Linked DNA regions of Nothobranchius furzeri. The main gene of each other region encodes a partner of the protein of the gene in region 3 in a complex. Links are inferred from orthologs where the notes say so. Each region holds a gene or a part of one and is shown on either strand. Other genes may lie near its edges.

Evidence for each region.
Region 1: timm22 (region 3) and agk share a complex: the UniProt entries of both Homo sapiens proteins name them as parts of the TIM22 complex. The link is inferred for Nothobranchius furzeri from reciprocal best matches to the Homo sapiens genes TIMM22 and AGK.
Region 2: the proteins of timm22 (region 3) and timm9 are in contact, whole or in part, in a cryo-EM structure (PDB 7CGP), measured with the Homo sapiens proteins. The link is inferred for Nothobranchius furzeri from reciprocal best matches to the Homo sapiens genes TIMM22 and TIMM9. Residues at the interface, in NP_037469.2 of Homo sapiens: Asp35, Arg37, Gln38, Pro39, Arg40, Leu42, Gly45, Ser46, Leu47, Gly49, Ile50, Ser52, Pro53, Lys60; in NP_001291414.1 of Homo sapiens: Gln13, Glu16, Phe17, Thr20, Leu57, Thr60, Gln61, Met65, Phe67, His71, Gln74, Asn75, Leu78, Lys81.

The regions. Positions count from the first base shown.
Region 1 is NC_091744.1:88,191,304-88,201,517, reverse strand, and holds agk (acylglycerol kinase, mitochondrial), read left to right. Parts: upstream 1-3,811; 5' UTR 3,812-4,314; coding exon 4,315-4,424; intron 4,425-4,496; coding exon 4,497-4,536; intron 4,537-4,633; coding exon 4,634-4,713; intron 4,714-4,799; coding exon 4,800-4,875; intron 4,876-4,945; coding exon 4,946-5,071; intron 5,072-5,173; coding exon 5,174-5,268; intron 5,269-5,390; coding exon 5,391-5,460; intron 5,461-5,585; coding exon 5,586-5,665; intron 5,666-5,746; coding exon 5,747-5,804; intron 5,805-6,065; coding exon 6,066-6,213; intron 6,214-6,300; coding exon 6,301-6,398; intron 6,399-6,484; coding exon 6,485-6,555; intron 6,556-6,658; coding exon 6,659-6,743; intron 6,744-6,823; coding exon 6,824-6,982; 3' UTR 6,983-7,657; downstream 7,658-10,214. Other genes in the region: nuclear pore complex protein Nup205, read right to left, coding at 88-225, 355-471, 555-730, 1,353-1,517, 1,653-1,881, 1,980-2,139, 2,273-2,417, 2,617-2,788 and 1 more. UniProt on the Homo sapiens protein: Lipid kinase that can phosphorylate both monoacylglycerol and diacylglycerol to form lysophosphatidic acid (LPA) and phosphatidic acid (PA), respectively. Does not phosphorylate sphingosine. Phosphorylates ceramide.
Region 2 is NC_091758.1:18,275,350-18,285,563, forward strand, and holds the start of timm9 (mitochondrial import inner membrane translocase subunit Tim9), read right to left. Parts: upstream 6,533-10,214; 5' UTR 6,392-6,532; intron 3,883-6,391; 5' UTR 3,873-3,882; coding exon 3,834-3,872; intron 1-3,833. UniProt on the Homo sapiens protein: Mitochondrial intermembrane chaperone that participates in the import and insertion of multi-pass transmembrane proteins into the mitochondrial inner membrane.
Region 3 is NC_091750.1:52,843,594-52,853,807, reverse strand, and holds timm22 (mitochondrial import inner membrane translocase subunit Tim22), read right to left. Parts: upstream 6,470-10,214; 5' UTR 6,455-6,469; coding exon 6,196-6,454; intron 5,112-6,195; coding exon 4,915-5,111; intron 3,608-4,914; coding exon 3,535-3,607; intron 3,444-3,534; coding exon 3,367-3,443; 3' UTR 3,054-3,366; downstream 1-3,053. UniProt on the Homo sapiens protein: Essential core component of the TIM22 complex, a complex that mediates the import and insertion of multi-pass transmembrane proteins into the mitochondrial inner membrane. In the TIM22 complex, it constitutes the voltage-activated and signal-gated channel.

The DNA.
Region 1 (10,214 bases), on a different chromosome or scaffold from region 3:
GAAAACAACAACACTTTACAAAGAAAGTCACACAAAAGTGCGTCATGGTGCAGCTGTCTCGAATTCTGTAGGTCAGGAAAGTTCAACCTGTTTATGAGGAGGCCGCTGCAGGGCCATTCCCAGGTAGGACCCCTGCAGCGAGGTGTGTTGGAGAGACTCTGTGGGACACCAGAACTCCAAACCCAGCTCCAAGCCAAACGGATCGTTACTGTAAAACTCCCCGATCTGAAACCACACACAGCAAACACAACAAGCTTAAACTCCAAACGCAAACAACAGAAAGGTTTCACTTCTTGCATCTTTGCTGCAGCTCCTTAAGTCTATCCTCAACACTTGCTAGATAAGACGACTGACCAGAACCATGAGATGATCTAAATCCTTCCGCAACGATGACGGGAGTTCACCGTCCATCTGTAGGGACATGTGCACCAGGCGGGCATCCTCGTCGGCTCGATTACGAAGCTGCTTCACCTGCAGTTTAAAGCGATTGTTAAAGCATGATTCAAACCTCCGTGATGACAACAATCTATGATGTCACTGTTGAAACCTCTAACCTTCACTGGCATGAGGGCCAGGAAGTCTGTGATGAGTGAATGGAGGCGGCGGATATAAAACTCTTCCTGGACAAAACCCTCACATCCCAACATTCCTTCCTTCATAAAGAGGAAGACGTCTCCTAGCAGAGCCTGATCAGCCAGAGACTCGTCTGCTTCGGTGAACTCAACGAGGCCTGCAGACACACACATTCAAATTAAACCCAAAACAAGCTCTGGGTGCAGGTGGACTGTATTTGCATAGCGCCTTCTAGGGTTCTGCAACCCCCCAAGGTGCTTCACAACACAATCAGTCATTCACCCGTTCACACGCTGGCGGGGATGAGCTACGATGTAGCCACAGCTGCCCTGGGGCGCACTGACAGAGGCGCCACCGGTCCCTCCGACCACCACCAGCAGGCAACGTGGGTTAAGTGTCTTGCCCAAGGACTAGGGCTGGACGATGTGGCCTAAAGTCAGTATCAGGATTTCACCTCGATAACGATGAATGGACGATGACTACAGGTATGCGCAGAAACTAAAGTTGTCCACAAGGTGGGGCTCAAGGCAACACAGCTTCTTAAAGGGACACGAATGCTGCCAGTCAACACACATCTTTTCATTTTTTTATTATCACATTTATTGACGTGGGAAAAATGATCACGAGTCACAATCTTTGATAACGATAATTTTTGGATTTACAGCCCAGCCCTACCGAGGACAACAGCAGAATTCTCTGGTCAGAGCCGACTTCGAACCCGACTACTGGACAAGCCGCTCTACCTCCTGAGCTACTGCTGTAAGAAGTATAAAACTTACCTGAGCCTTGTGGCAGCTGTGAAAGGACTCTCAGAGACAGAGCCCAAGCCAGTCGACACACAGCCTGCAGCCCTGGAAGCTTCCATGGTTGTCCGTCCATTAGACGAGTGTGCACCGCAGACACATACTGCCGCTCTGTGAGCAATGGCAGTGCCTGGAGAAGATCTGGAAGGGAAAAGGTCAAATCTGTCAATTTCTGTCAAAATATCCTGGCAAAACATCAGCAGGCATCTTCATAAGAACTCTAACTAAAGGACTTCAAGTATCTTCAACAAAATGAAGCATTTGACATGAACTCACCTTCTCGATCTTCAGTTCCCTGCTCTATAAAGCTGACGTCCAAGCAGTACAGCAGCGCCATAACTAGAGCCAGGCTCACACTGTCCAATGAACCATCAGCTTGAGCTGTAACTGTCTCCAAATGACCAATAAGAGCCAAGGTGTCATCTTTAGTCAAGGGTGACTGACAAGTCCAACAAAACAAGCTGTCTGCTAGTGCCTGTCGACATTCTCTGATCAAGTCAGAGACCTGGTGACAAAAGTGGGAAGAAAATTGCGTTTGGCATTATTTCCTCAAATAAGCTTCGACTTAAGATAAAATAAGATCAATTTAATACTTGCTCCTACCTCCTTCCTGTGCTTTTCATTGCCCAAACCACGCTCTTTCTGCAGACGTTCAAACTCCTGTGTCACATTTATTTCTGACACCAAGGCAAGGATGCGTTTTGTTAGTCCTCGACTCATCAACTCATCTGTAAAGCGTGTTGTCAAAGCCACCAGCTCGTCACTGAGCGAGGAGGCAAAAAACAGTACACAAGTTAAAGAAACATTTTTCCTTCTTGCTGACAAAACAATTCCATCAGATGGGCCTTTGAAAGAACCCATCACTTTGTAAAATTACCAATATTTAAAATTGTTACTTTAAATCCAGGGTGAAGGTCTTGCCATGCCGTGACTGAATGAGTGTGCGCAGAGAGTTGGCCACACAAAGCCTTCCATCCCAGTAGAGCAAGACAGCCACTAGGCCTCGTGTCAGGCCTGGAAAATGGGGCTGTTGTTGTTGACCTGGTGGAACAAAAAAGTACACTCTGTTAATTATTTCATGACTGCCTTCATCTTTCCTTCCAAATCACACACTTGATTAAAAAAATAATATTTAGTAACAGGTAATGTGACTGTTTCTGCATTTCTACCAAAATTATGCAGTCACAAATTTCCCTTCAAAAATGTAACTTATAAGCTGGTTTTTAAGAGATCACTCTACCTGCCAAGAGAAGCTCCAAAGCTGCTAACTCTCCAATGTCAAACAGATCACTGAGGATAAAGGCCTCCGTCAGGAGCGTCTCTGGAAGAAGACGTGAACCCTGATGTCCTTGAATGGCGATGCCTTCTGTGCTGGCCTTGCGTACTTTTTCCCTCTGCTCTGCACTCTTTGGCTAAAAATATTGGGAAAATCATGTGTTTGAAAAAGCTATGTCTCAATATAAATCTATACATTGGGTAACAACAACAAATGTAAAGGTTAAAAGAACATTTCTCAAACATTTAATTTGAATAACTTCAACAAGAGAGCTGTTATCTCACCACATTCTTAAAGAGTGACATAAAATGTGGTTTGTGTTTCTTCAGTTGCAGATCCAGAAGGTGGACAGTTTCTGGCTGTCTCTTCAGTATAGCTCCATCTACTGTCTCCCATAGCTCCTTCAGTGGCCCCCACAGACTGGCTCCTGAACGAATTAGTTTATAATATATGCAGGCAAAAAACATGGATTTCTGCGTGCAAGTTTCTTATAACCGTACTCGTTCGCAACATTAGACAGACAGACAGACAGATAGCCTAGCCTTGCAAAAGTGATGAAATTACTTTCACATAAAATGCGCAAAAAATCTACACGATGAGTTAACGCGCGCACTCACAATGGTAGCATATTAATGTGACCAACATCATTTATTTACTCCTCACTGACGAAAACAATCATCAACTTTTGTAGTTTCAGTTTTATTTCCAAGTAGTGGGCAAATACGTCAACTGAACCCGCTAACAATTGTAGGGACATATTTATATATGGTTGATATATATATATATAATTTCTAAATGTGCAATTCATATATTTTCGCGTATTTTGTTGTAGAAGTGAGGTCTGGTCAATGTGTCTACAACCAAAACAAGCTAATGCAACGTTTTTCAGCCATGAGTAAGGCTAGGCTAAAGTAGCCTAACAGCCCGTGTCATAACCTAAAAAGATCAACTGTGCAATTAAAACTACTAAATACCAATAAGCTACTCACAAGATTTAACACGTATGTCTTTATACGTGTGTTATGATTCAGGGTATATTGATAAAAAACGTCTCTCAGCATAAAAATGCTCAGAAATAAGAATTATTACCTGAATTTACCGCCATCGGCGCCGCCATGATCCACACAGACCGTTTTGGACAGCAGCTGTTAAGTTATTGCCGGTGTGAAATGCAAAAAATAATAAATACTTTATGAAAAGTTCCAAAATATATTTTCTCAGCTATTAAAAATAAACGTCAAATGTAAAATATAGTCACTTAATAAGTCATAGTAATTTCTTTAAAATGTGGTTTTAGTATAAAATTATCAGGCGAGGTCCTCGAAAGTTGAAGCTACCGGAAGTAAACTTTTCTTGCGTAGCCTGAAAAAATATTTGAGAAATAATTTAAATTTACTTAATGGTTGATTTTCTTTCTTCAAATAATATGATATGTTTATTTAGTTCAACACTAGATTTTTGCTAAAACATATTACCCATTACATTCTCCGTCAGAAAGGTCAGAAATAGTTCCGCCTTGTTTTGCTCCGTACTCTTTAAACGTAACACCACTATTTCCATGCAGCATTATTCTGTGACCGCTCTGGTAGAAATTTGTGATTTTCAGTTATTTGTTCCACTATAAATTCTGTACATTAATAAGACAGGGGTCTCTGAAGTGTTATGGCTCGGGTAGTAAAAGTGTTTCGGACTCTTCGAAATCACTGGAAAAAATCAACATTAGCTGTGTGCGTCCTTTCTTATGGTGGATATTGGCTGTATGGTAAACACTGGTGAGTTTATTAGATTTTTTTACTCGCATTAAGTTTGTTTGCCACTCAAAAATCTTGTACCTTGTATTTTAGTGAAAGCGTTGTGCGCAGAGAGGCTTGTCAAATTGCCAGGGTAAAGTATAACTTCATTTTTTATTGCCCTCAAAACAATTAGAATCAAAATAGCAGTTTACTTCATTTTAATTGTAATTCTAAGTATCATTACTTAGGAATTTGGACGTCAGCAAATAGCACCACACGAAGGTCTGAAAAAAGCAACAGTGATTTTGAATCCTGCAGCATCTAATGGGTAAAAACTTATAAAAGTCACATATCTGTATTATCAGCACAGTCTTTCCCAAAACAAACACTTTCCCTTTCCCCAAATGTTTTCAGGAAAGCCAACAGCTTGTTTGAAAAGAATGCTGCCCCCATTTTACACCTGGCTGGAGTGGAAATTACAGTAGTCAAGGTATAAATAAATGAACCATTGATCATAAGGATTGGCATAAACCGAGTGTTACACCAGTCTTTTTCCACAGACAGACTATGAAGGTCAAGCAAAGAAACTGTTGGAGCTCATGGAACTGACAGACATGTTGATCGTGGCTGGAGGAGATGGGACGTTACAGGAGGTCGTCACAGGTTTACTGCGAAGACCGGATCAAGCAAGTGTAGCATAATTCTGGTTATCTGTTATGTTGTGTTACACCTTTATTAAAAGCTATTATCAAGTAGAAAGTGCACAACAGGTTTATTTTTGACAACAGGAAACCTTCAGTAACACACCAATCGGATTCATTCCTCTGGGTTCTAATAATTCCTTAAGTCCAAGTCTTCATTTTCTCAGTGACGACAAAGTCAAGTAAGTAATACGAGTAAAAAAGCCTGAATAGCTGAGACAAGTATGTGATATCATGTATTTATGGCCTTTCGTTTGACGAATGGATTTCCTTGTGTGAGTTTTACATTGTGTTGAATATTCAGGAATATCACATCAGCCACACTGTCCATTCTGAAAGGAGAAACGGTTCCTCTGGATGTGCTACAAATCAAAGTAAGAGATGGTTTACACAGAATAGCATAACAATCATGTCTCCGATGCCGATTTCAGGGGTTCATTAACTATACAAGTGTACCGAAGTCATATGATGGATGTGTTGCATTTGTGTTTGTCTGCAGGGAGAGAAAGAGCAGCCCGTCTTTGCTCTGGTTGGATTGCGTTGGGGTGCTTTTAGAGATGTAGCTGCAAGAATTAGCAAGTAAATTCACCCAGATGGTGACAAAGATTGTGTATTTCATATTTGATGAGACCGTCTTACAGTTGTATTTGGCCCACACAGATATTGGTATCTTGGACCACTGAAGGCAAATGCAGCACACTGGCTTCACACTCTGAAGGTGAGAAAGATCCTGCAGGCTAATCTGCACAAAGGAATATAAACTTGATTTTGCAATGTCATCTCACTGGTGTAGCTTTTCTTTTAATGTACATGTGTAAAGTCAATGTTTTGGTTATTTTCTAAGGAAATATGTCAGTTTTTCAGTATTTTTCTGATCATCGGAGCACTGAATCACTATTTCACATATTGTAGATGAGCCTTAGATATTTTATGTTCCTGTAAATCATAAACTTGGGTAATTTTCATAAATATTGTCTAGGAGTGGCCTCTGGTCCGAGACGTGTCCATTTTCTATCTGGCTCCCACGCCGCGGCCCCCTGACCTGCCCTCTCAGAAGCCCGCCAGGCCGAACCTGCTTCGCCGCATCGTCTGCAGACTGAAGAACTACTGGAACCCGCCGGTTAAAGGTGAGTGTTTGTTACTATTCTGAAAGTCCAGCACTAGAACACAACAATCTTATTTTAATCTTTGTTTTTGGTCTTTTCTTTGCTCAGAACCTCCTAAAGTGGAAGAGCCAGAGAAGTGGGAAGAGCAGCAGCTGTCTACATTGGAGCTTTATATTCAAACCCACAACAAAAACCCAGTGGAGCGGGTCAGTGATCTTCAAAAGCCTTGCTGCTACATACTCTGTTTACCATCAGATCTCATCTTTGTCCATGTGTTTGTTTGTATTTGTAGCGCATAAACGACTCTCTGTTGATCTGCGCGGAGCCCAACAACTTCACCGTTGGCGAGTTCATCGCTGCAGGGTCACTAGCTCCTCTTTGATTATTCTTTTATGCTTCAGAGGCCTTAAAATCAGTTAAATGTTTGCTTTTACTTGCATTAAAGTTAGTGCTGTCTTTCTCCTAGGAGTAAGAAGCAAAAAGACCCAACTGTATTCACAGAAAACCACATGGAGCTGGAAGCAAGTGCTTGCCGGATAAAGCTGCCAGAGGTGAGGAATCCTTGTTGTAGTTTCAAAGTCAGCATGTGAGTTTTAGTGTGAAGGTGGATTTCTGTGTGATGCCTCTGCAGGGAGCCTCTGGCTTCTACAGTATTGATAATGAGGAGTATGAGGCCATGCCTGTAGAGATCAGTCTGTTGCCAAGGAAACTACGCTTCTTCATCAGCACCGAGCGCAGAGAGCAGCTCCGCACACAGCCGCAGCGACGACAGAAACAACCAGAAGATTAAAACAGCAGGATGAAAGAAATCATAATAAACTATTTAAATTTAAACTTTTTCTCCCTTTACGACTTTAAAATTACAAATGAAGGTAATAAGAGGAGTTTTTTTTAACTAGTATAAACAGTCTATTATGTTTCCGGATGCTTTATGCTATCAGACGACATGTGTACTAGTTTTCTTGGTGGCATCGTTGCGTTCTGCACGGTCAAGAGCAAACATGCAAACTCCCTCATTTACTTTGGATAAACATTTAGAGTCTTTTCAGCCAGTATCCCTGGATGACTTAGTTAAGTTGGTGGACGTAATTAAACCGAGTGGATCTCCTGAAGACATCACACCACCACGGCTGTTTAAGGAAGTCTTTCATGGAATAGCACCATTAATATTGAAAGTTATTAATAGCAGTTTGGCCTCTGGCTATGTCCCAATTGATTTTAAAAAGATGGTTATTAACCCACTGTTAAAGAGATCGGAGTTAGATGGTATGCAGCCTTGCAATTACCGGCCGATTGCAAAGCTCCCTCTTCTGAGTGAAATTCTGGAAAAAAGTGTCTATACTCAGTTAATGGATTTCCTAGAAGAGTCTAACATTAAGGAAACTTTTCAGTCTGACTTTAAAGCTTTTCATAGTATGGAAACGGCACTGATAAAGGTATTAAATGACATTATGTTGGAAACTGATAGGGGAAATCCTGTGCTACTTGTTTTGTTGGACCTTACAGCTGCGTTCGACACTGTGGACCACGAAGTGTTGCTCCATCGTTTGGAGTATAATGTCAGAATCTCTGGTCTGGCCTTAGACTGGTTCGGATCTTATTTGAAGGATAGGGCTGTAAGTGTAAGGATGGGTGGGTTTATTTCTGGATTCACACACATGCAGTGGGGGGGGTCCCACAGGGTTCAATATTAGGACCACTACTGTTTTTGATTTACATATTGCCACTGGGGGACATGAGGAAGTATGGAATTCGATTTCATATGTATGCTGACGATTGCCAACTTTACTTACCCTTGGATTATAGAAGCGACTGTGCCATTGTTACCTTAATGCACGGTCTAACTGAAGTAAAGTCATGGTTGACGGACAATTTTTATGTCTGAATGAAAGCAAAACTGAGGCGGTGCTGTTTGGGTTACATCGTGATTTAGAGCGATCAAAACTGGATTGTAGGGATATGAATGCCTACCTACGTTCTTCGGCAGTCAACTTAGGAGTGACATTAGATAACGCTTTCACCTTTGACGCACATGTGGGTGCGGTTGTATCGTCCTGTTTTTACCACTTGCGACGTCTGGCCAAAGTGAAGTCATTTTTAATTAGAAAGGACCTCGAAACTGTTGTGCATGCGTTTATCACCTCTTACTGTAACTCTGTCTTAATTGGGGTGAGACAGAGTACAGTAGCTCGTCTGCTGCTTGTGCAAAACGCCGCGGCAAGATTCCTAGAAGGGAAAAGGAAATATGATCATGGGACACCCATCCTGGTTACCGGTCGTTTTTAGAGTGCGTTTAAAAATTATTTTATTGGTTTTTAAGGCATTGAATGAGATGGCACCAGAATTTTTATGACTTGCTACAGCCATATATACCTAGTCGTTTGCTCCGCTCAGAGAGTCACCATATGCTTCTAGTCCCCGCAACTAGGCTCAAAACAATTCAAGTTTATTTATATAGCGCCAAATCACGACAAGTCGTCTCAAGGCACTTCACATAATAAATATTCCAATTCAGGTCAGTTCATTAAGCCAATCAGAAATAATGTTTCCTATATAAGGAACCCAGCAAATTGCATCGAGTCACTGACTAGTGTCAGTGACTCGATGCAATCCTCATACTAAGCAAGCATAAAGCGACGGTGGAGAGGAAAACTCCCTTTTAACAGTATTACGTCCCAGCTCTCTAGGAGAGATGAGGAGGGGAGTAATAAAATTAGTGTGTGGGTAAATAAACAGTGCTGTGTCGCTTAAAAAGAACAAGAATTTTAATACAAAATGAAGGGAGTGTTTACAAAGAACCTAAAGAACAATATTAAATACAAAAACAAAAGGAGCAATATTTAAAAAGGACAAACGAAAAGCACCAACCCAGAAGGGGATGGGGAGAAAACAACTGAGAATATCTGGGGAGATCCTAAATTCCGAGTCAAAAAGCCGTTCCGAAGTCTACAAGCCAAATTATCCAATACAATTTCCAATCCAATATCCAAAACCCTAACGAGAGTAACCAAAGACGAACGTGCGAACGAGTTTTACCAAATGAGCGAACCAAGAAGAAGAGAATAGTGCAAACTGTTTCCAGTCTACACTACCCTGGACCTTCTCAAAGAACTGATGGCTGACAGCAGCTTTTTAACAGCTGATAAGTGATCAGCCATGATCTGATCCAGCTGAGCACTAGGAGACGGACGAGGCAGAAGGCACTGAGGCCATCTTGTGGCTGAAAAGGGGCACGGCACGTAACAACAGGAAGAAACCTCCAGAGAATCCTGGCTCAGTATAAGCATCCATCCTCCACGACTCACTGGGATCGAGAAGACAGAGCAGGCAGACACACACACACACACACACACGTAATCTGTCTATAGTTATATTGTGATGTCTTAGTAAATATTCTATGTGGTGAGAGAGAAACTATTGCATTTATCCTAGTGAATCTATAATTAAATGGATAAACTAGTATTAGCACATCAAACGTCAAAGAGAGTAAAATGTTATTATCAGGAGAGGGAGAATGTTTAAGTGGTTAGCAGCAGTGTGTTAGACGATGGCCCCCTCCATGAGGCCACCACAGCTCAGCAGAACATCGTTGTAGCTTCTTCTGGGGAGAAAAACACTTAGAGAGAAAATAAAGTTAACAGCTGAAATAGCAGGAAATAATACAGTTAAAGAGCAGATTGTAGAAGAAAGCAGTAGAGTGTGGAAAGTGGTCAGTGTGTCCTCCAGCAGTCTAAGCCTATAGCAGCATAACTACAGAGATAACTCTGGATCATCTATCCTATTTAGATGGAGGCATGTTGGAGTCAGTTCAAGGGAGAGCCGTCTTTACCGACTGTACACTCCACCTCCCTCTACTCCCCCACTTGTCCTGATTTAGGCTAAAATCAGATTTTAACCTTAGACCCTATCAAATAAAAATGTTTTAAGCCTAGTCTTAAAAGTAGACAAAGTGTCTGCCTCACGGACTAAAGCTGGGAGCTGGTTCCACAGGAGAGGAGCCTGATAACTAAAAGATCTGCCTC
Region 2 (10,214 bases), on a different chromosome or scaffold from region 3:
CCGACCAAAAGAAGAATCTGCAGCTGATTTCCGTTAAAAAAGGTGATCCGATTAACGCCTCTCAGAGCCCGTCAAACCAGCTGTCCGTCGCTGATGCCTTTCCGTCACATCGTGAGAGTGTTATAAAGTTTGCCTCCTACAAAGAAAATACGGCAGAGGAAGCTCTTTAAAATGCATCAAGACAGTAGCTTTATTACGAGTTTTAAAGAAGAAACTCTGGGTGGAGTGAGGCGAGTTGCAAGGCTCGCTGCTGAAATAAAAACATGGAGCATCAACACTCGCCTGTAACCCATAACATAATAAAAAGCATCATGCTAGATCAGCAGCTTGTGATGACACTTGATTCTGCTCACTAGGAGCTGCTACAGATATTAAGTAAATAAATATAATAATTAGGGATGTGTATTTTTGAAATTCTGGCGATACGATACATATCACGATACAGGGGAAATGATACGATATATCACGATATATTGCGATACATTCAGTCAGACGTTACAAGCAATTTTTTTACTGAATTTATTGTAAGGATGTTCAATAAACAGTCCAAACTGATACGTAACATGTTTAACATGAGGTATCTGAACCATGATGGAGGGATTTACATTTCAGTGGTGGAAACAAAACCTGTTGCACACTGCTGCCAACTAGCGGGTGGCGATTGAATTGCGCAAAACGAAAAGAAAATACACAAATGTTTGCATGCAAATTCTTTCAGGAATTAGATACACGGCTTTTGAATATCGATGTAATAATCGCAGGAAAAATTATAACGATATATTGCCATATCAATATTTCCGATACACGGCTTTTGAATATCGATATAATATTGCTGGGAAAAATATCATGATATATTGCCATATCGATATTTTCTTACATCCCTAATAATAATAATAATAATAACAATAATGATAATCATATAATAAATCTCACCACACAGAGTTGAGATTATGTTTTGCTTTTTGAACGATTTAGTCTGTTGAGAGTTGAAATGTTTTAAATCTGTTAGGCTGTTACTGACAGCAGCTACATTTAAGGTTGCTGCAGAGTGTGCATATGTACATGCTAGGGCTGGGCGATATGGCCTAAAATTAATATCACGATATTTTGAGGATTTCACCTCGATAACGATAAGTGGACGATAACTACAAGTATGCACAGAAAGAACAGTTGTCCACTAGATGGGGCTGTCACATGTATCATACTTTTTTACATGGTACAGCTTCTTAAAGGGATATGAACACTGCCAACCTACACACATCTTTTCATTTTTTTTATTATCAGATTTATAGACATGGGAAAAATTATCACGATAAGAGTCAGAAATTTAAATAATGATACATTTTCGATTTATTGCCCAGCCCTAGTATACGCTGCAGCAACCATTAGGTTTAGGTTCTCCGTCATCCTGGACATGATCATCCTGAGCTTTAATAAAAAAAAACACAGCTGGACTTTTCTGGTTATCTTGAAGACGCTTTTCTTGTCATCCTAGAGGCTTCTTCACTTTGGTTCTGAGCTATGGTCAGAAATAAACACACTGATTGTGCTAAGTCTTTCTTTAGTTTCCCTTTTGAAAACGTTTTAGTCTAAATTAAGGTGATGTTATTTCTCATAGGATTAAAATTCAAGTTCAGATTATTTGAAGCATCTGCTCCTAAAACGTATATATCGGCCTCAATAATCGGCTTTATATATCGGCAACAAAATTCTTTAAAAATCAGTATCGGCATCGGCCTAAAAAAAAACTATATCGGTCAGCCTCTAACCAAAAACAATTCTTTCAAAAACTCTAGAGAGATTTGCGAAATCTCCTTGTCAGCATGTGCTAATAGGGAGCTTAGGTCTCCTGCCTTTACGGTCGGCTCATGGGTCCCAGAAGAACAAAAAAAAGAATGCAAGTCAACGGGGCTAAAAGAGCTATTTTCAATACCACTTTGCCTTAGTCCCTGGATCACACATATGTTGTACTGCAACTTACATGAAAACTAATGATGGGTGTTTCAACCACATCTGTCGGGTACTTTGACATTTATCAGCTTGTAAAAGTTCGTAATTAGCTCGACTACATCGGCACGTCGCATATATGACGTCACCACAGAATCTCCTCTCCCCTAGCATAGCTGCCACACGGCCATATTTATGGTTCTTTCCTCCTGAAGGAAAGATTTGAAGTTTGCTGAACTTACAGGCATTTTCCTTCTGTTTTTCTCTGGGTCTGGCTCAATGAAGTGCAAGCACATTTGTAGTCCTGGACTTCTTTTCACACAAAATCTAAAATAACATGTATAAAGGGACTTGACTTTTGAATTTTTATGCTCGCGATTGCCCCCTCAGGCCAAAAGCGTAACAGCAGCTTCAATAGTAGGCTTGTGCACGAGGCGCGCATGCTGTACGTGCACACTCCTTAACGAAAATAACAGCTGAGACAGCCCTGTGTGTGTGTGTGTGGCCCGGAGGACAGGAGAACGCGCAGCTAATTAATTAAATAATTTGGTTCTGTACCTTTCTCTTCAGCACAGTCGACAAAGGTTTATGATGGGTCAGTCCTCCTGCATGCTCAGATCATTCCCTTCCCTTGCTTGAAAAATTGTTCCAAAATGAAAGTTGAACCCACATCTTTTTTATCTGTGAATTCAATGCCGTTCGGCGAGTCTCAAATAAAAATTTGGGCATCTTACTGTAAAAAATATACCATTAATGTAAAAAAGAAACTCTAAATAAACTATGTTCACATCCAGAATCAAACCCAGGTCTTCTGCATGGCAGTCAGACATTTTACAAGGTGAGCTACACTCTAGTAACATTCACAGTATCTGTAACTTTTATATCCTTGATGTCACCTAAAACAACATCAAACCAACGAACGGTTCGGAGCGAAAATGGCTATTTTGTTGCTAATTTGCAGGAAATATCTAGAAGGAAGTTCTACAGAAAGTAGCTAAGGGTCCTCAGAAATGTAGCTAGCTTTGTCACTAGGCGTTAGGAACAGCGACAAAGTCGCTGAGTTGGCACTGCCTCTCTCTCTGCTGCTAAAGCTACTGATAGCAAATGCTACGTGCTATGCCTGAGCGTGAACGCGCATGAAGCAGCCTGCTTGACCCGAGCATCTCTCTTTTTCTGTGATTTTACAGAAAAAGGCAATCACAGTAAAAATGCCAGGGCTCATTCTACAGGACCAGGGCATTGCTGGAGAATTTATGAAGAAAACATTTATTATTTCTATACATGTTTTGGCTGTCAAACTTCCATATAGTCCCTTTAAAAATAAGTGCTTTCTTGGTATCAAAATGTGTTTTTAAAATTGACAAACATCGTATGGGAAATCCATGGAACATAACAAGCAGAATTAGAAAATTGCGTTTTTAGCATCATTCATGGGCGTGACTTAGGCTCCCTGTTCACATAAAAAACTGGGGTCTCAGATTTTGCAACAAAAATGCTTAGAGTGTGACCTGTGTTTGCACTCACTTGTTTTTACAAGTTCAATTACAGCTCAAGTAGACTACAGGACAATATGACCATAAGAACGGTTATTGTCCACAACCGTTATTCAAAAGAATGCTTTTTGGCAAAGATGACAAAGATTTAAGTAACTACTGGGTTGGTGTGCCTATGAATGTTCTTTTCATTGCATTGAATTTTTTGCTAAAAACGAAGTGGTGTGAGCCAAGTTTATTTCCTAGACGGATGGGGGCGTGGGGGGGGGGGGGGGGGGATTTAGGGTTTAATAAAAAAGCCGGCTTCGTGTGTTCAGGGCCTAAGTGATCAAAGTGAGAGTCATCTGATAACAATTAAATATGAACAGATAGGGAATCTGATGTGTAGCTCACCTGTTTAACCTGGTCTGACTCAGACACCTGGGCTGCCATGTTTCACACTCTGGAGGAGAATCACACAGAATATTAGAATCTCTTTAAATGTCACCACTTTATGAAACAGATACACTTATGGACTACTCTTTCACATGAGTTTACATATATACATATACATATACACATATATATATATATATACATATATGTATGTATATATATATATATATATATATATATATATATATATACATACATATATTCATATACATATATATACACATATATACATACATATATATATATATATATATATATACACACACACACACACACACACACACACAGGCCACTTTATTGGGTACACCTTGCTAGTACTGGGTTGGACCCCCTTTTTTCCTTCAGAACTGCCTTAATCCTTTATGGCATAGATTTGACAAGGTACTGGAAACATTCCTTAGATTTTGGTCCATATGGACACAAAATTTGACCCATTCCCTGGGGGAGCAGTGAGCTGCAGACACAGCCGTGCTCAGGAACCATTTGGTGGTGTAACCCCCCAATCCAACCCCTTAATGCTGAGTGTCAAGCAGGGAGGCATTGGGTTCCATTTTTTCAAAGTCTTTGGTATGACCGGACCAGGAATCGAACCCTGATCTCCCAGTGTCAGGGCGGACACTCTGCCACTAGGCCACTGAGCTGGTCCTAAAGGAATGGACATGATCAGCAACAATACTCGGGTAGGTTGTGGCGTTGCAACAATGATCAATTAGAACTAAGGGGCCCAAAATGTGCCAAGAAAATGTCCCCCACACCATTACACCACCACCACCAGCCTGAACCGTTGATACAAGGCAGGATGGACCCATGCTTTCATGTTGTTAACTCCAAATTCTGACCCTACCATCCGAATGTTGCAGAAGAGATAAAGACTCATCAGACCAAGAAACATTTTTCCAATCTTCGGTTGTCCAATTTTGGTGAGCCTGTGTGAATTGTAGCCTCACTTCTTGTTCATAGCTGACAGGAGTGGCACCCGGTGTGGTCTTCTGCTGCTGCAGCCCATCTGCCTCAAGGTTTTACGTGTTGTGCATTCAGAGTTGCTCTTCTGCATATTTTGGTTGGAACGAGTGGTTATTTTAGTTACTGTTGCCTTTCTATCGGCTTGAACCGGTCTGGTCATTCTCCTCTGACCTCTGGCATCATCAAGGCATTTTTGCACAGAGAACTGGATGTTTTCCCTTTTTCAGACCATTCCCTGTAAACCAGGGGTGTCAAATATGCGGCCCACGGGCCGGATCCAGCCCGCAAGCGGGTTAAATCCGGCCCGCAAGATGGTTGTGTAAACTTTATTTTCATACTTTACAATGTAGAGTGAAAATAAACTTATCTTTGTGAGCAAGTTTTCTCTGTAGCGAGTATAAATAAAACAAAGCTGCGCTCAAGGCTCACACAAGAACTTGAATCACATCCTGAAGTTGGCCACCACTCAGGATGTGACTTCTGATATTGATGTTCTGGTGAAAGTTAAAAGATGTAAAGTAAAATGAGTCAAATATACTTTAAGTGCTGCATGAAACTGATCTAGCCATGTGATCTGTAAGCTCTGAACCACTAAGGAATGTTTTTTTATTTGTTGATTTTTTTTTTTTCAAATTTTCAAGTACACTTCAGGTGTCGTACTTGTACTATTTTGGATACACTGTCCTCAGGCTCCAGCCTTGTTTTGTATTGATTGTATTAAAACAAAGAAAACAATCTGAAGTTGTTTTTAATTTACCGGTCCGGCCCACTTGGGACTAGATTTCTCGCAATGTACCCCCTGAGCTAAAATGAGTTTGACACCCCTGCTGTAAACCCTAGAGATGGTTGTGTGTGACAAACCCAGAAGATGAGCTGTTTCAACTTCATGACAACCGTGCCACATTCAGAGTCACTTAAATCTCCTTTCTTCCCTGTTCTGAAGCTCGATTTGAACTGCAGCAGATCGTCTTGACCATGTCGACATGCCTAAATGCAGTGAGTTGCCACCATGTGATTGGCTGATAATAATTTGTGTTAATTAGCAGTGTACTCAATAAAGTGGCCAGTGAGTATATATATATATATATATATATATATATATATATATATATATATATATATATATATATATATATATATATAAAGTGGCCAGTGAGTATGTATATGAGAGAGAGATGTGGTTCTAATAAACGTAAAATAAAGGTTATATAAACCATTAGCTCAGCTATATTAGCGGAGCTTGTGGTAATAGAGTAGTTATAACCTCGTCCGGGTCTGCACGGTCTAGCGTGAACTAAAGCTGATGAAAAGTGATCACCCTTAAATTGGTGTTATGAGCCCTAATCCCACCAGCTACAGTTCGTTGATAATTTGTTTTTGATCAACAACGCGGATAAACCGGGATAAACCAAGGACGCATGTCAGACGTGTTTCCTGTCTCTAAGCTAAACACCCCCATATATTTATTTGTAGGCCTCAGTCCAGGACACGCTCGTAACTTTGTATTTCTACACATTTAATGCGTAAGTCACGCTGGTGTGTTTAAACCTTACCTGCTGAGTGGGTGATATGCTACGGCTTCTCCACCGTGTGCAATGTCGAAACAACCCTGAACCATCGCCCTGAACAGAAAAAGATAACAGCAGCAGATTCGATACAACCTAAATTAATTAATTCATGCACAAATATGATTTTAACTCTTCGGTTGAGCAGGTAAATTTTATTTATTTATTTATTTTTGTTCCTGTTTTTATACTTACAATGCTCAGATCCTAAAGTGTACAATTTGAGACAAATTGTAACGAAAGTGTCGACTTAAATGTGTTAGGGTTGTTGAGGTAAACCATTTTCGCCCCCTAACGAGCTGGAGGGTACAATGCCAGATAAAAGGCATTAGGCAGGACAGCTGTACTCAGCCATTTGTTTTATTTATAAAAAGAAAATGGTATCTATCTATCTATCTATCTATCTATCTATCTATCTATCTATCTATCTATCTATCTATCTATCTATCTATCTATCTATCTAAGCAACTGAGAAAAACGAATATTTTAGCACAAAAGTAGCACGACACCGAAAAAAATCATAAATAATGCTTGGTTCTGGGTTTGATCTTGTTCTGCTAAATGCACCAGCACTTTGTTTACAGTTTTTCTCAGTTGCTTTGGTGCATTTCTCACAACAGAATTAAACTTTGCACAACAGTTAGTTCAACCTCCACAACATGTAGTCGTTTTGGCACAACCTAGTGGCAGTTTCATGTTCATGTTCATTCTTGGTAAAACACATTGTAGAGTATGTTTTGTAGAATTGCTAGTGTACTGCACGAAACTACAAAGTACTGTAAAGCAGTTTACAGTGCTGAACATAGAAGACCTGCTTTACCTGCACATACTGGTGACGGATCTCCTTCACCCTTTCACAGTTTCATTCGAATGCCACTTTATACAATTGCTTCATGCGGATTTCATTTTTTTTTTTGAGAACTCTGTCGATTGTTGAAATGGAAACAGATTCAATATTGCCAAATACCGTGTTATTCTCTAAGACAGTGCTTTGCATTTCTCTCAACTTTATTGCATTGTTTGCAATGACCATTGCACAAATGGCTTCATCTTGCTGTGGAGTAAAAAGGGGCCCTCTTCCACCTCCGCGAGGTTGTCTTTCAATCCTATGTGGTGCAGAGTAAAATTACAGTAAAATTGAAAATACAGTACAGTAACATGAGATATGTATGAGATGGGACAGTACAGTACAGTAAATTACTGTATGCATACCTGTTTTCCCTACGGAATGTTTGAATGACTGAACTGACAGTAGTTCTTCCAATATTGGGTTGCACCCTTCGACCAGCCTCCTCCATGGTGAGGCCGTGATTGACAACATGGCCCACAATTGTAGCCCTAATTTCATTAGGAATGTGCTTATATCTGCCTCTTCTCCCCCTTCCCCTTCCCCTTCCTCCCCGCATCCTCACCCCTCTTCCACGATGCTGACCTTCCATTTTGTGTCACAGAAGTGTAGAAATGGTACACACTAGCTCCTGCTCAGTTCACATATGCTTGCCAATGGAGGATTCACCTCCTCATGAGTGACAGCTGAAATTCACCTGTGATCAATTGTTCAATTTAGGAGACATTTCCAGGAAAAAATGATGAAGAAAGGTATAGAATTTGCTTGACAGATTACTAATATTTGACATTTGATAACTAGTTCAACAATTTTGTGTGTAATGACTCAAGTAATGAAAGTAAGACTATTAGTTTTATTGAGAGTGACTATTCAGCATCCATAAGTATAATTAATTTTGACTGACATGACATAAGCAAATGGAAATGTCAAAAAACAGCAGAGAAATGTATGAAAGCAACTGATTCATGTCCAAAATCATTTGCAGTTTGTTCAGAGAAAGGAGAAATTGCAACTATGACGTGCACAAATGACTAAATGTTGTGGAGGTTGAACTAATAGTTATGAGAATTTTAATTCTGATCTGAGAAACGCACCAAAGCGACTGAGAAAAACTGTAATATTTGACCGAAACTGTTCACAGCCTTGTGCAACTGGGTAAATAAAGTAAAACAAACATTTTACAGCAAACATAAACTCACTCAGACAGTAAACCTTACTGCAGTAGTTATGAAACAAAAAAAAAAACTGAACAGACACAGCTGCAAATCAATAATTGATATCTAGATGCTCCCGTCTGTCTGCCCACATATTTTCATCAACATCACAGGGAATGTCAGCTCTATCGATGCATCGGGGAAAGTAACTTCTGGAGTGTCGAATCCACCCTCTGCAGCACTCTGCTGTGATGTCATCACAAGCTGCATCCATGGCTGCTAGCAGGGTCATTTGGGCATGTGGATGCCTGTCATATACCTTCCACCTCCAGGAAGAGGAAAAACTCCTCAATTGGATTTAGGAATGGAGTGTAAGGAGGAAGAAACTCCATAAGCATCATGTCGTGTGCTGCAAACCACTGCCTGACTACAGCAGAGTGATAGAAGCTAGCATTATCCCAAACCACTACATACATTGTCCGATTGTCACCAGGACACACACCAATTTTCATTAGTATGAGATAAAGTTCACCTGAGAAATGTCATTTATGGAGATTTCCATGGAAATTCCTTAAAAATAGGGTTTTCAAAATGGGTGTACAGATTGTTCGACAAGATGTTCAACAGTTTTTAGTGCAATGACACAAGCAATGAAATGAAGACTATTAGTTGTAAGGACAATGACTATTCAGCCGGTACAAGTATAAATAATTGTGACATTCATGATAAAAGCAAGGAGACAGTGATGAATAGCAAGTCAAAAGTGACCATTCTTTAGATATTTGTACTTACTCAACTGCTTCATGTCCAAAGGCATTTGCCACAAAATGAACATGAAACCGCCACTAGGTTGTGCCACAACGACTACATGTTGTGGAGGTTGAACTAACTGTTGTGCAAAGTTTAATTCTGTTGTGAGAAATGCACCAAAGCAACTGAGGAAAACTGTAAGAAGCTTTATTTCTGGAATTTATTTATTATCATTGTCATTAAATTGAAGTTGGACAGATGACTTGAAAATTCAAAGTTAAGGACTTGGACTTCCACATCATTGACATTGGACTCGACTTGGTTGTGATTAACTTGGACTTGACTCGAGACTTGACTGGAAAGACTTGTGACTATATTTGTTGTTTTTGTTTCTGATGTTAATAAGGAATGTTCATTCTGTCATAGTGAAGGTGAAAGTATTGGACATTTTTTTGTTGAATGCTTTTGGTTGGATTTACAAGGGCTTCTTACCACTAAAATTGGTAAAGACATTACACTCACAAAAATTCATATATTATTTTGTTTCCATAGTTCTTTTTTATCTACAGAAGAAATATATGTTGAAAATGTGTTTATTATATTAGCCAAATACTATCTACATGAATCAAAATGGAGAATTATATCTCCGTCGTTTACTAACTTCAAAGAATCCGATCTGAATATTTATTTTGTTTTTATTGCTTATGGCAATGTAAACAATCAGAAATATTGGAAAACCTTAAATTCTCTTAAGACATTTCATTTTATTTTATAAGCAGATTTTATTGTGTGTTATTTTTTTAAATAATTTTATGATTGTGTTTTTCAATTTTCATTTGTTGATTTTACTCCATAATTCTTTTATTCGTTTTTGAACGTTCTGAGAGTTTACTTGTACAACGTTTGTTTGTTCAACAAAGTAAAAATAAATAAACAAATAAATAATAATAATAATAAAAATAAAAAATAGAATTATCATTCCAATAGGTGGCGGTAATGCGCCAAAATCTCGCTCAACTGCCTCAAATGAAGAAGGCGAAGAAGAAGAAGGCGGAAATAT
Region 3 (10,214 bases):
GTCAGGTGCCAGACTAAGAGCGATTCATTAATTCTTATTAGGACTACAAAAGCAGTGGAGAAAAACTCTCTCCAAGACTTTTTAAATAATTGAGTTTTAGTAGTTACGTAGTTGGTATAAAAGAAAAGTTTTCACAGAAAATGTTTTCCATTATCTAGACCAGTGGTTCCCAACCTGGGGTTCGTGACCCTCCAAAGGGGCCCCCACAACTGTGTCTGTGCTGAGGTTGTTGGGTTACAAAGGTTATTTATTATTTGTAAAAAATTACTTTTCTAAAATCCCAATTACACGCCCAACAGTGTAATCAAAAATCTGTATAGGTGTTACAACACCGCATGTCTGTGCAGTTTGTAACTAATCACTTGTGATGTGTATTTGTAGATGGGGTTGGGGGGTCCTGGCTTGTTTTCAACACTGGTACGGGGGTCTTCATGGTAAACGGTTCGGAACAACTGATCTAGATGAAATATGGTGTTTACTAATTTAAAAACTGTAGAAATTTTAAAGTAGTATATTTTATTCTGAAAGTATTTACAGGAAGTGCCGATCGTCTTGTTTACAGTAACTTGACATAAACGCTGTGGTAACAGCTTCTGTCCGCAAGAGGGCGGAAAAATCCTTCATCGTGAAAGTCAGACAATAAGGGTTTGCTTGTTTCAACCATGTGGCTTCTACCCAGTTGATCTGAAAAATTACGTATAAATCCCTTCAATCAAATGCTGATTACAAATAAACCAATTAAAAATAAATTTAGACAGAAAAATGTATACAAAGGTATTGTTAATGTTAATGCTTATTTTTGTGCATTTTGTTAAGAGTTTTATTTCTGAATTTCAGAAGTTATTTTTAAAGTTATTGATGAAACAAGGACCAGTAAGTAGACTGGATGCAGTCAAAACTCCAGAAGATGGCAGTAATGCAGCTCTGCTGCTAAACAGCTCTTTAATACCAGGACCGTCAGCTTTAAAACAGGTGTTTATTATAAAATACTCACCCTGTCAGTATGTTTTTAAACTACTGAGTGTGACTTTTATGTTGTGGTTTATTAGATTAATGGTTAATAAGTTTTATTATAAGATTAAACTCAGACACATACAGGATTATTGATATTTCAGATAATTTCAACTACTGTGAATATTTCATTACAGTTTCATTCTGATCATGATTCGTTTCAGCCACAAACACTCCGAGGACGAGGACCTTCTGCAACATGCTACCTGATGGTGACCTGCAGTCGAGAGGACAATAGAAGCTCCAGGTGTTTGTGGAACGTCAGAGCTTGTGTGTGTGTGTGACAGAGTGTGTGTGTGTGAGTGGTAGGTGAGTCTGTAACAGTAACTGGTCTGGCTCAGGTCAGGATGTGAGAACGTGTCCATGAGTTGAACCTGCTCCACCGTCCCTAAGCTGGCCTCTCGGATCGCTGCGTAGAACTTCTTCTCCTCCCACGATGGTCCAGTCCAGAAACTGATATCGAAGCTGAGGTAAGGTAGCGGGACTCGTGTTGCCAATGACCGCAGTCACCAATTCTTGTCATGTATCTTGCCCATGTATGTCTGATCTCTGAATTGTGTGTACTGAAACTCAATTTCATTTCTCTGTATGTCTTGCACATGTGGTAGAAATGACAATAAATGACTTTGACTTTTGAAAGGCTCTGGGTGCAGAGAAAAAGGACAGAAGGGAGTCCCGGGAGGTGGGCCATGTGAACACTGTCTTATGAAACGTGGCTCGTGAGACCAAAGCAAACGCCAGTCAGGGAGTGAAAACAGGAGCACGGTGAGGAGGTCCAGGTTCAGAGAAACAGTGATGGTGACATGGCAACTATCAGCTACACTGCTTTGAAAAACCTCACCAACCATACCCAGTAGCTCTACTGTCAACTGCAGGCTTCTCTCCTCTGTTGCTACAGAGACTCTGTAGGGAGAAAGGAGTTTTTCCAGCCTACTTCTTAGTAATTTAATTGGCTCGGTGTCTGAAGGGAAAACACCTCTGAGGAGAAGCTGGTGGAAAGCAGGCAGGGCCCACAGGCTGATGGCTATGTTCCTGAACACTACACCACTAATGCCAAAGAATGAGCTGATGGCACCATTACAACCCTCATCGTTTTTATTCTTTTCCCCTTCAGACCTCACATCTCTCCCCCCACTCCCCCCTGAAGCTGTGCTTCTTTTCCAGCCAGAAACACGTTCAGCTGAGGGAGCAATGACGGACGCAGCACATATAGACCGCTTTCCACTTCAGGGTGAACATCACTAGAGCACGCCGGCCACAAGCTCTTCAATATGTTAGAACAAATCTGATTTTCGTTTATTTTTCTAGTTTTAACACATTTTTGTTCCAATTTTCCTCCTGGCTGTGATTTTTTATGGACTGACATATTTGCTGAACGGGGCACCGCATCTCCTGCAGGAACAGCATCAGCCATCCTCAGCATCACGTCGCTGTTTAAGTTAGTAGTTTGTTAAATGCTGCAATCCCGCTCGGCCAAAATATATTGCATCTTTCTTTGACTCTGTTCTTTCACATATGTTTTGGGAAAAGTTTAGCAGTTTTGTTATTAAATTGGTGTTTCTCTTACTGCCTAAATGTTTTTGGGTTTGGGCCGGTGTGGATGGCATCACCGTCACAAACGCAGAACAACTGAAGTACAGAAGATGGATTAAGGATATGATAGCGACACGGAGACGTGGACCCATGACAACAAACAGGGAAGGAGTTTTTACACTGGACATGGTCATTGATGAGGATGTCGTAAGCGGCAGAGGGGGACATCGTCCCCTGCTGCCTGCAGATAAGGACGGAAGTTTTTTTTTTAGCCAAAATCATAAAACCTGCGCCATTTTCTAGTACTTAGTTTCAACATAGTGGCAGTAGCTCATTAAAGAGTTTGAGGTCTGCCCAGTGGCTTTGTGATGTAACAATGCCAGTAAATATTAGACTGAATTTTTTGTCTGTTACTGAATCACAGTGATTTGAATGCAGAAATACTCAGAAATGCAATTATGAACTTAAATTTCTTTAGATATGTCCTGAAGCATAAGAAAAATGCACAATTTTCATTAGAGTGGGTCTTTAATATAAAAAAAATTCTGGTTTATTTCTGCTAAATTATACAGATGTTCTCCACTCAGAGCTGTAGCTGTCCAGGTGGAGGTTGTCATGGTGACTTGGAAGCACAATCTGATCCAGGCTGTTCAGCATCTGGAGATTATCCAAATAAAACAAAGACAAGGAGTCTTTACTTCAGTCCACCGTGAACAGCATCTCTTTCACAACACTCATTAATGTCTTCTATGTACATTTGGTCTCTCACAACAAGAGCCCTCGTGATTAAAGTCCTTGTCCTTAAAGCTGCCTTTTCAGCTTTCATCGTAGGTAATACTCGATGGCAGCAGAGAATGCAGCAAAGCCTCCACATCCAAGGACCCCAGCTTTCAGGCCAGCTGCAAAGAAATATGATCAAAAGATTTCACAATACTTTCAAATGAATACAGCAAGTTTCAGCATGAAATATCCCAAAAGCAGGCTACAAACCACGAAATCCTATGGCTCCTCCAGTTACACAACCACTGTATACTGCATTTTTCCAGTCGGATTTGCCTCTGTGCTGCAAATAAAACACAAAACTGTTAGGTACTTGTGCTTTTGAGGCACAAAAAACCACTCAGAAACAGATGAGAGGCCCCAGTGGTCATTTGAACCAGCATGATGCCAGTTATGCTCCTTCAGTGACAGGCTGCTGCATCCTCAATGCAGAAAGGAGCGTTCTCGCAGGTCCTTCCTCCCAGCAGCTGTTGGACTTTATAACCAACACTGCTCCCAACAGCCTGCTTAAGTGTTTTTCTTGTTATTTGTCTGCTGTTATTTGCACACTGATCGAAGCAATAACCCCTTTTCAGGTTTTGCCTCCGTGACACAGAATCTGAGTCCAACATTGGATGATTGTACATTATTCCATCTCTAGTCTCATGCTGCTATTATAACATCTTATATAATACTTTTGTGTCATTACTACATCCTTGTTGTAAATAATTTACAATCTATCTATCTATCTATCTATCTATATATATATATATATATATATATATATATATATATATATATATATATATATATATATATATATTATTCAATTCAAATTCAAAAATACTTTATTAATCCCAGAGGGAAGTTAGAGTTTCAGTACACACAATTCTGACATCAGAATATGTGTGTGTGTGTGTGTGTGTGTGTGTGTGTGTGTGTGTGTGTGTGTGTGTGTGTGTGTGTGTGTGTGTGTGAGTGAGTGAGTGAGTGAGTGAGTGAGTATGTGTGTGTGTGTGTGTGTGTGTGTGTATCTGTTCTCTTCTTAACTTACTTGTAACTTTGCTCTTGGTGCACCAGAATTTCCCCAATGAGGGACAATAAAGGGCTTTATTATTATTATTATTATTATTATTATTAATAATTTGGTTTTTCACATATTCAACAGCAGAGGGCGCTGTAAGACCTGTGAATGATGTATTAGAAAACAGCAAAACAAACAAATCTCTTTTTATAAGGAAAAATAAATAAAATCTTACAACATAAAAGGTTTTTGGAAAGGTTGGGATGTGTATTATGCACATGTTTATTTAGTTTTATCAACCCACTAGTGTTCAGCCTCTGGAAAAGTTTTATAAACAAAGGTTTCCAGAGTTTCAGTAATATTTTTTGACATTTTGGTACATCATAAATGTTTTTTAACTGGTTTATCCCTTTGTCTTGAGCTCTTCACCATCCTTCCTTCAGACATAAGCAGCCTCAGCCAAGACAAGGTTGAGAAACATAGTATTCCCTGGGTTTTCCTCTGTACCACAATATGATTTTAAGTGTTTATTATGTGACTGAATGCCAATAAAATGAGTGTTAGTCTGAATAATGTCTGTGACTTACTGATTCAATGATGCACTCTGTACAGGAGAACATGGCACCAACGATGGCAAAGTTCTTGGCGTAAGACATCCCTCTCTGACCCATGTCTTTAAGGACTTCTCGAGCTGTTGGAGTTCTCAGAGGGTCTTTGGGGTCAAAGCCAACATTGGTATCGATCCCAGCTGTGAAAACACCAAATGCTCCACCGAGGACAAACCCTGGAAAGATAAAGCATCAGTATCCAGTTTAGAAAGTACAAACATTTACTGTCGTTAGGATAAATAACATACACAAATAGCACAGCTTTGAGCTAGGAGATAATTGGGTATCAATAAAAACCCAAATAAACAAGACTAATGTGGGAAATTGTGTAAAATCAACAATGCAAAACCTTAGCATACCACTCTGTGGTGATCCCTTAAATACCTTTAAGTACCTGGGTGTTCACCTGAACTGAACTGCTCCAACAACACCGATGCTCTGTATAAGAAGGGCCAAAACCGCCTCCACTTCCTGAGGAGGCTGAGGTCCTTTGGTGTTCATTCCCTTATCGCTCTATTGTTGGCTCTGTGATCCCCTCTGCTATGGTCTGTTGGGGTGCAGGCAGCTCTGATCGAGACAGGAAGAGACTTAACAAGCTAGCTTCGTTCTGGGTTGCTAACTAGATTCAACTAAGAAAATGTGTGAAAGGAGGATGCTGGCGAAGATGACCTCCATCTTGGAAAACCCTTCCCACCCACTGCATTCCACTGTGGAGGCCATGGACAGCTCCTGCAGTGAAAGGCTGAGACGTTCAAGATATAAAACAGAACGTTACCGGGGGTTGTTCGTCCCCTCTGCGGTAAGAGTGTATAACTCCACCGTTTAACTGGTACTGGCATTATCCTGTTACACAATAACATAAATGCAATATTCAGTATGTGTGAATGTGCAATACCTGATGTACATTATTATGTCTGTATCCCTTATGCTGCACAGTTCTGGAAACCCAGGTTTTCTTTTTATTCGTTGTTTTAAGTGGTTAAAGGTTACAATAATAGCTCGTTTCCTTTGTATGTTTACCTGTAACCTTATTATATATATTCTTCCTTTTCTCTAAGTGTATGTGCTGCTGAAAGTCTATTGTATTCCATTAGATAGATATTCATATCAAAACCAGCTGAGAGGTAAAGGTTTGAATATTTCTAATTCTAAAAATGGCTTCTATAGAAAAAAACTTCAAAAAAAGTTGTACAATATTGTGATCAGCTTAAACGTAAGAAAACTGTACGTTTGAGCTCGATTTTATGTGTAGTTGTTTACCTCCCACACAAGCCAGGATGGACTTGAAGGCGCAGCTCTCCATGCCCTTCTCTATCATCTTCTGCTCGTTGCTTTTCGGAGGCGTCGGCAGTCCCCCCATAACACCGGGGCTCAAGTCTTTAATTTGCCTTTTTTCACCTATAAGATGTTCCAGAACCATACTGTACTGAATTGTTGAACTATCCATTGTGGAATCGGCTGAAACTGGGCTGTTTGAGCCCAAAGAGGCAGCGTTAGTTCCACCAGTGGACGCGGCCATATTTCTCAATGGCACCGCTTTAGGTAAGTGTAGTCCAAAACCACGCGTCTGTTGATTCGTCACATTACTCCGCGAGCGGAAGTGATTATATTTCGTTTGAATCATGGTTTAAATGAATAAATATGTATCTAACACGTTTAGCAACACCAAAAGTAACATTTATGACTAGTACATCTTACTTAATGAAAAAGATATTTTTTTGCAAATCGTTAAATTAAAAACTGAGTCCACAAGTTTTATTTATTTATTTCTTTTAATTGTTACCACAAACATTAAATTTTAATTGGAAGATTCCGTTAAAATGTATATAAAGGTATACTGTTGACGTTTTCAATAATAACTTCATAAATGTCCATTTCTGTTATGTATGCAGTCTGTTCGCCAGGTCATGTTTGTAAATGAGAAGTAGTTCTCAAACAATTTACCTGAATAAATAAAGGTTAAATAAATAAAATAAAAACATAATAACACACAACACAATTTTAAACCAATAGTAATTTGGTGTAACCGTGCATCAACTACATGACTACATTTCCCACAATTCCATTCGAACTTTGGTGCAAAGCGCCCGCACGCGCGCAGCGCTCCACCTACTGGCTCCACAACAGGCAGATGGTGACACTTCAATGACTCGCCGAGTCGGCAGCAGCATCTTCACACAACATCAAGACTGCCGCATTAGCGAACAGGTGAGGTAGAGCTACCGGCTACAGACTCGTGTATTTCTATTATTTTACCACACTTCCTCTTTGTAGTTTGTTGACGTGAAGCACATTACTTTAATTTCAATGCTGCTTGTGTTGTCTCGATGGAGGAAGCGGCCGGAGTTGGTCGGGATGAGTTGATTTAGCCAAAGTGACTGTCGACAGCTTGCTTGTTTACGTCGTTAACGTTTCTACTTAATTAGTGGACTTCCTGGATAATTATGACGCAGACACGTCTCTGTTTTTACAGAAGCTTTCACTGAATTTGCCCAAGGACACAGTGCAGCTTTCACTAAAACAGAACATGTGATGTTCAGCAACAGAAAGTGTTTTAAATATGCACCTCCAGGGGATTATTTTCAATTTTACATGATTACAGATAATTATCATAATACTTGATGTTTGATCTAATCCAACCTAATCGATTCAAATTTAAGTTTCTTTATGTGCGAAGCCTAAGTGCCTCAAGGAAGTGGTTTTATTATTGCAAGATTCTGATAAAAGAGTGTAGAACTTCTTATATTTCTGCTGCGATATTTTTATGTTTATTTTAGAGTTCACAGTTTTATTATATAACATCGTTACCAGGTTAAAAGTTCACTAAAGATTTTAGTCAAATTAAAACTTTAAAATCTTTTAAGTTTTCTTTAAAAAGCTTTTATTCAGGCAGACTTCACTTTTAGATTTTAATAACTGATGAGATTAGATGTGCTGTGTTAGGTTTGATGTAAACCTGGTGTGTGCCATGTTCAGGCTGCCAATTCTTCCCAAGTAGAGCAGTTTCGTTGTGATGTGGCGAAACAAGGTGCTGTGGTTAGTGTGGCTAACATTTTATAGTTTCTGTCTTTAATAGGTCCTTAAATGCGTCATTAAGACAAGCTGTCCTGACTAAGCAACAAAAAGTGATTCTACTCCCGCCACGCAGCCTTCAGCGTTACCTGTCATTACATCAAACACTGATAGTGAATGTTACATATATTATTTGTGTGTTGGGGTTTGTTTGTTTGTTTTGATGCACTCAAATGTTGATTTCTGTCAAAGATGACCAGATTTACAACAAATGCAGTTTCAAATGATGATTTTGTGCATTAATAGGGAGAAAGGACCCTATGGGCCATTCCCATCTGTACCGGGTCGGCCCGGGCCGGGTAGCCCCAGTCGGCCCCAGCCTGGCCCGGTTGATTCCACACATCCTTGCCTTAAGCCCATGTGGGCTGATTCTACCCACCAATCAGAGGCTTGCTCTAATGGAAGGTGTGAATTTGCTGTCAGCAGTGGGTGTGTTGGCCCTGGTCGGCCTGAAGCAGACCCCCTCGAGAAGAGGGCTGAGAATGAGCCTTGGTTGGCCCGGAAAAATACCAGGCCACCCAGATATGTAAACAACCTACGCTACCCGGCCCGGGCCGACCCGGTACAGATGGGAATGGCCCACTAGACTCTAGAACTGATTTCCCCATCTTGGGAGCAACAACTGCAGTCAAGCGTTTGTGATCATTGGTCTTTCATAAAGGACATGTGGCTCATTTGTCTGTAGGATTGATTTAATGCAGACACATTAAGAGGTGGGGGTGGGGGGTCCTTTTCACATCTGTTTAAGATCAATGGCTACATTTTTTCCAAGTATTTACAGAAAGTGATCCAGGTCCTGAAGCAGCAAAGCAGCCTCAGACCATCACACTATACCGCCACCATGTTTGGCTGTTGGTATTAGGGCTGGAATATCCTTGAATTTAATCATGTGGTGTACGCGTGTTTATTGTGGCTGCCTTGTGTAATTAGCTTCTTTTTTTTAAGCGTAGATTGTGCAAGTCTTCTAAAATTAACGCAACGCGCTTGCAAGCTGCAATATGCGAGTAACTAGAAGGGGGAGTTGACAAAACAATTGAAACGTTATCTCTGGTTTAGAGGTCTTTAATACTGTCTACGATACCGCTGCGATTTTTTTTTCTGTCATGATTTTAAAATTAACCAATTACTGATCTCTTATGACTCCATGTTTGTTTTGGTTGTACACACTGGCTAAGTGGAGAGTACCTGGGTCCAGTTGTGTGATGTGGAATGGCATTTGGTGGTAGATAGAAAATTTCTGCTCTCCTCAATGAAAGGAATGTGTGTGTGACAGAATATCACTGTAACTGGAATTCAAGGTCCCATTCCAATATGGAGCCAGACTCTTAGAAATATCTGATGTCCTGAAAACAGCAGAGAGAGCAGAAGGAACTCCTTTACCTTCTTAGTGTTATCAGTGGATGAGCTGAATCAGGATGGGGTGAGGTAACCACATTTGGACTGATCCTGTGCATCTTTAGTCTGATTGGTCAAAAACACAATACTACTCTGATGAGTCGTCTTCTGTTTGTATCATAGTAATGACTTTCTGACCTAATTTAACACTTAAGTTGTCAGTCTGACTCATTCTGCATCAGGTGCCGCTTAAATCTCTCCTATTGAACAGGGGAAAATGCTCCTAAAGGAACCTGACTATGATGAATTGTTTGGCTGATTAGATGACCATTGACATGAGCTAAATTGATGTGTTGTTTAAAAAAATACTCAATTTGTTTTTGTTTTTTAAAACACTTATAATGGTTTAATTTACATGTTATTTAATGAGCCATAAGACATACGATTCCATAGTAAATATGAAATCAACCTTATGGATCTGTGGGTACTTTTTGACCCGAAGATTCGAACTTTTTATTGCAGGGATTATGTAACCACTTCGCATTAATTCAGAGACAACAGAGGAGAGAGTCAAGTTTTAAAAGTTTAAAGATTTATTACTAAACAAATTAAAACTAGACTTAACTTAAACACTAAATGTATGGTGTAACTAAGATGAATGAAACGGAGAATGGTGTAGTGTTGAATGTGTTCAGAACCAGCAAATCCGAAGAAACGATTAGTTCTGGTGGGAATGAAGGTGATGTCTTGAGCTAAGCTTTGATTAGGAGATTCATAAACACATTCAACGCCATTTTGTCACTCCACATACCCTTAGAATGATATATATATATATATATATATATATATATATATATATATATATATATATA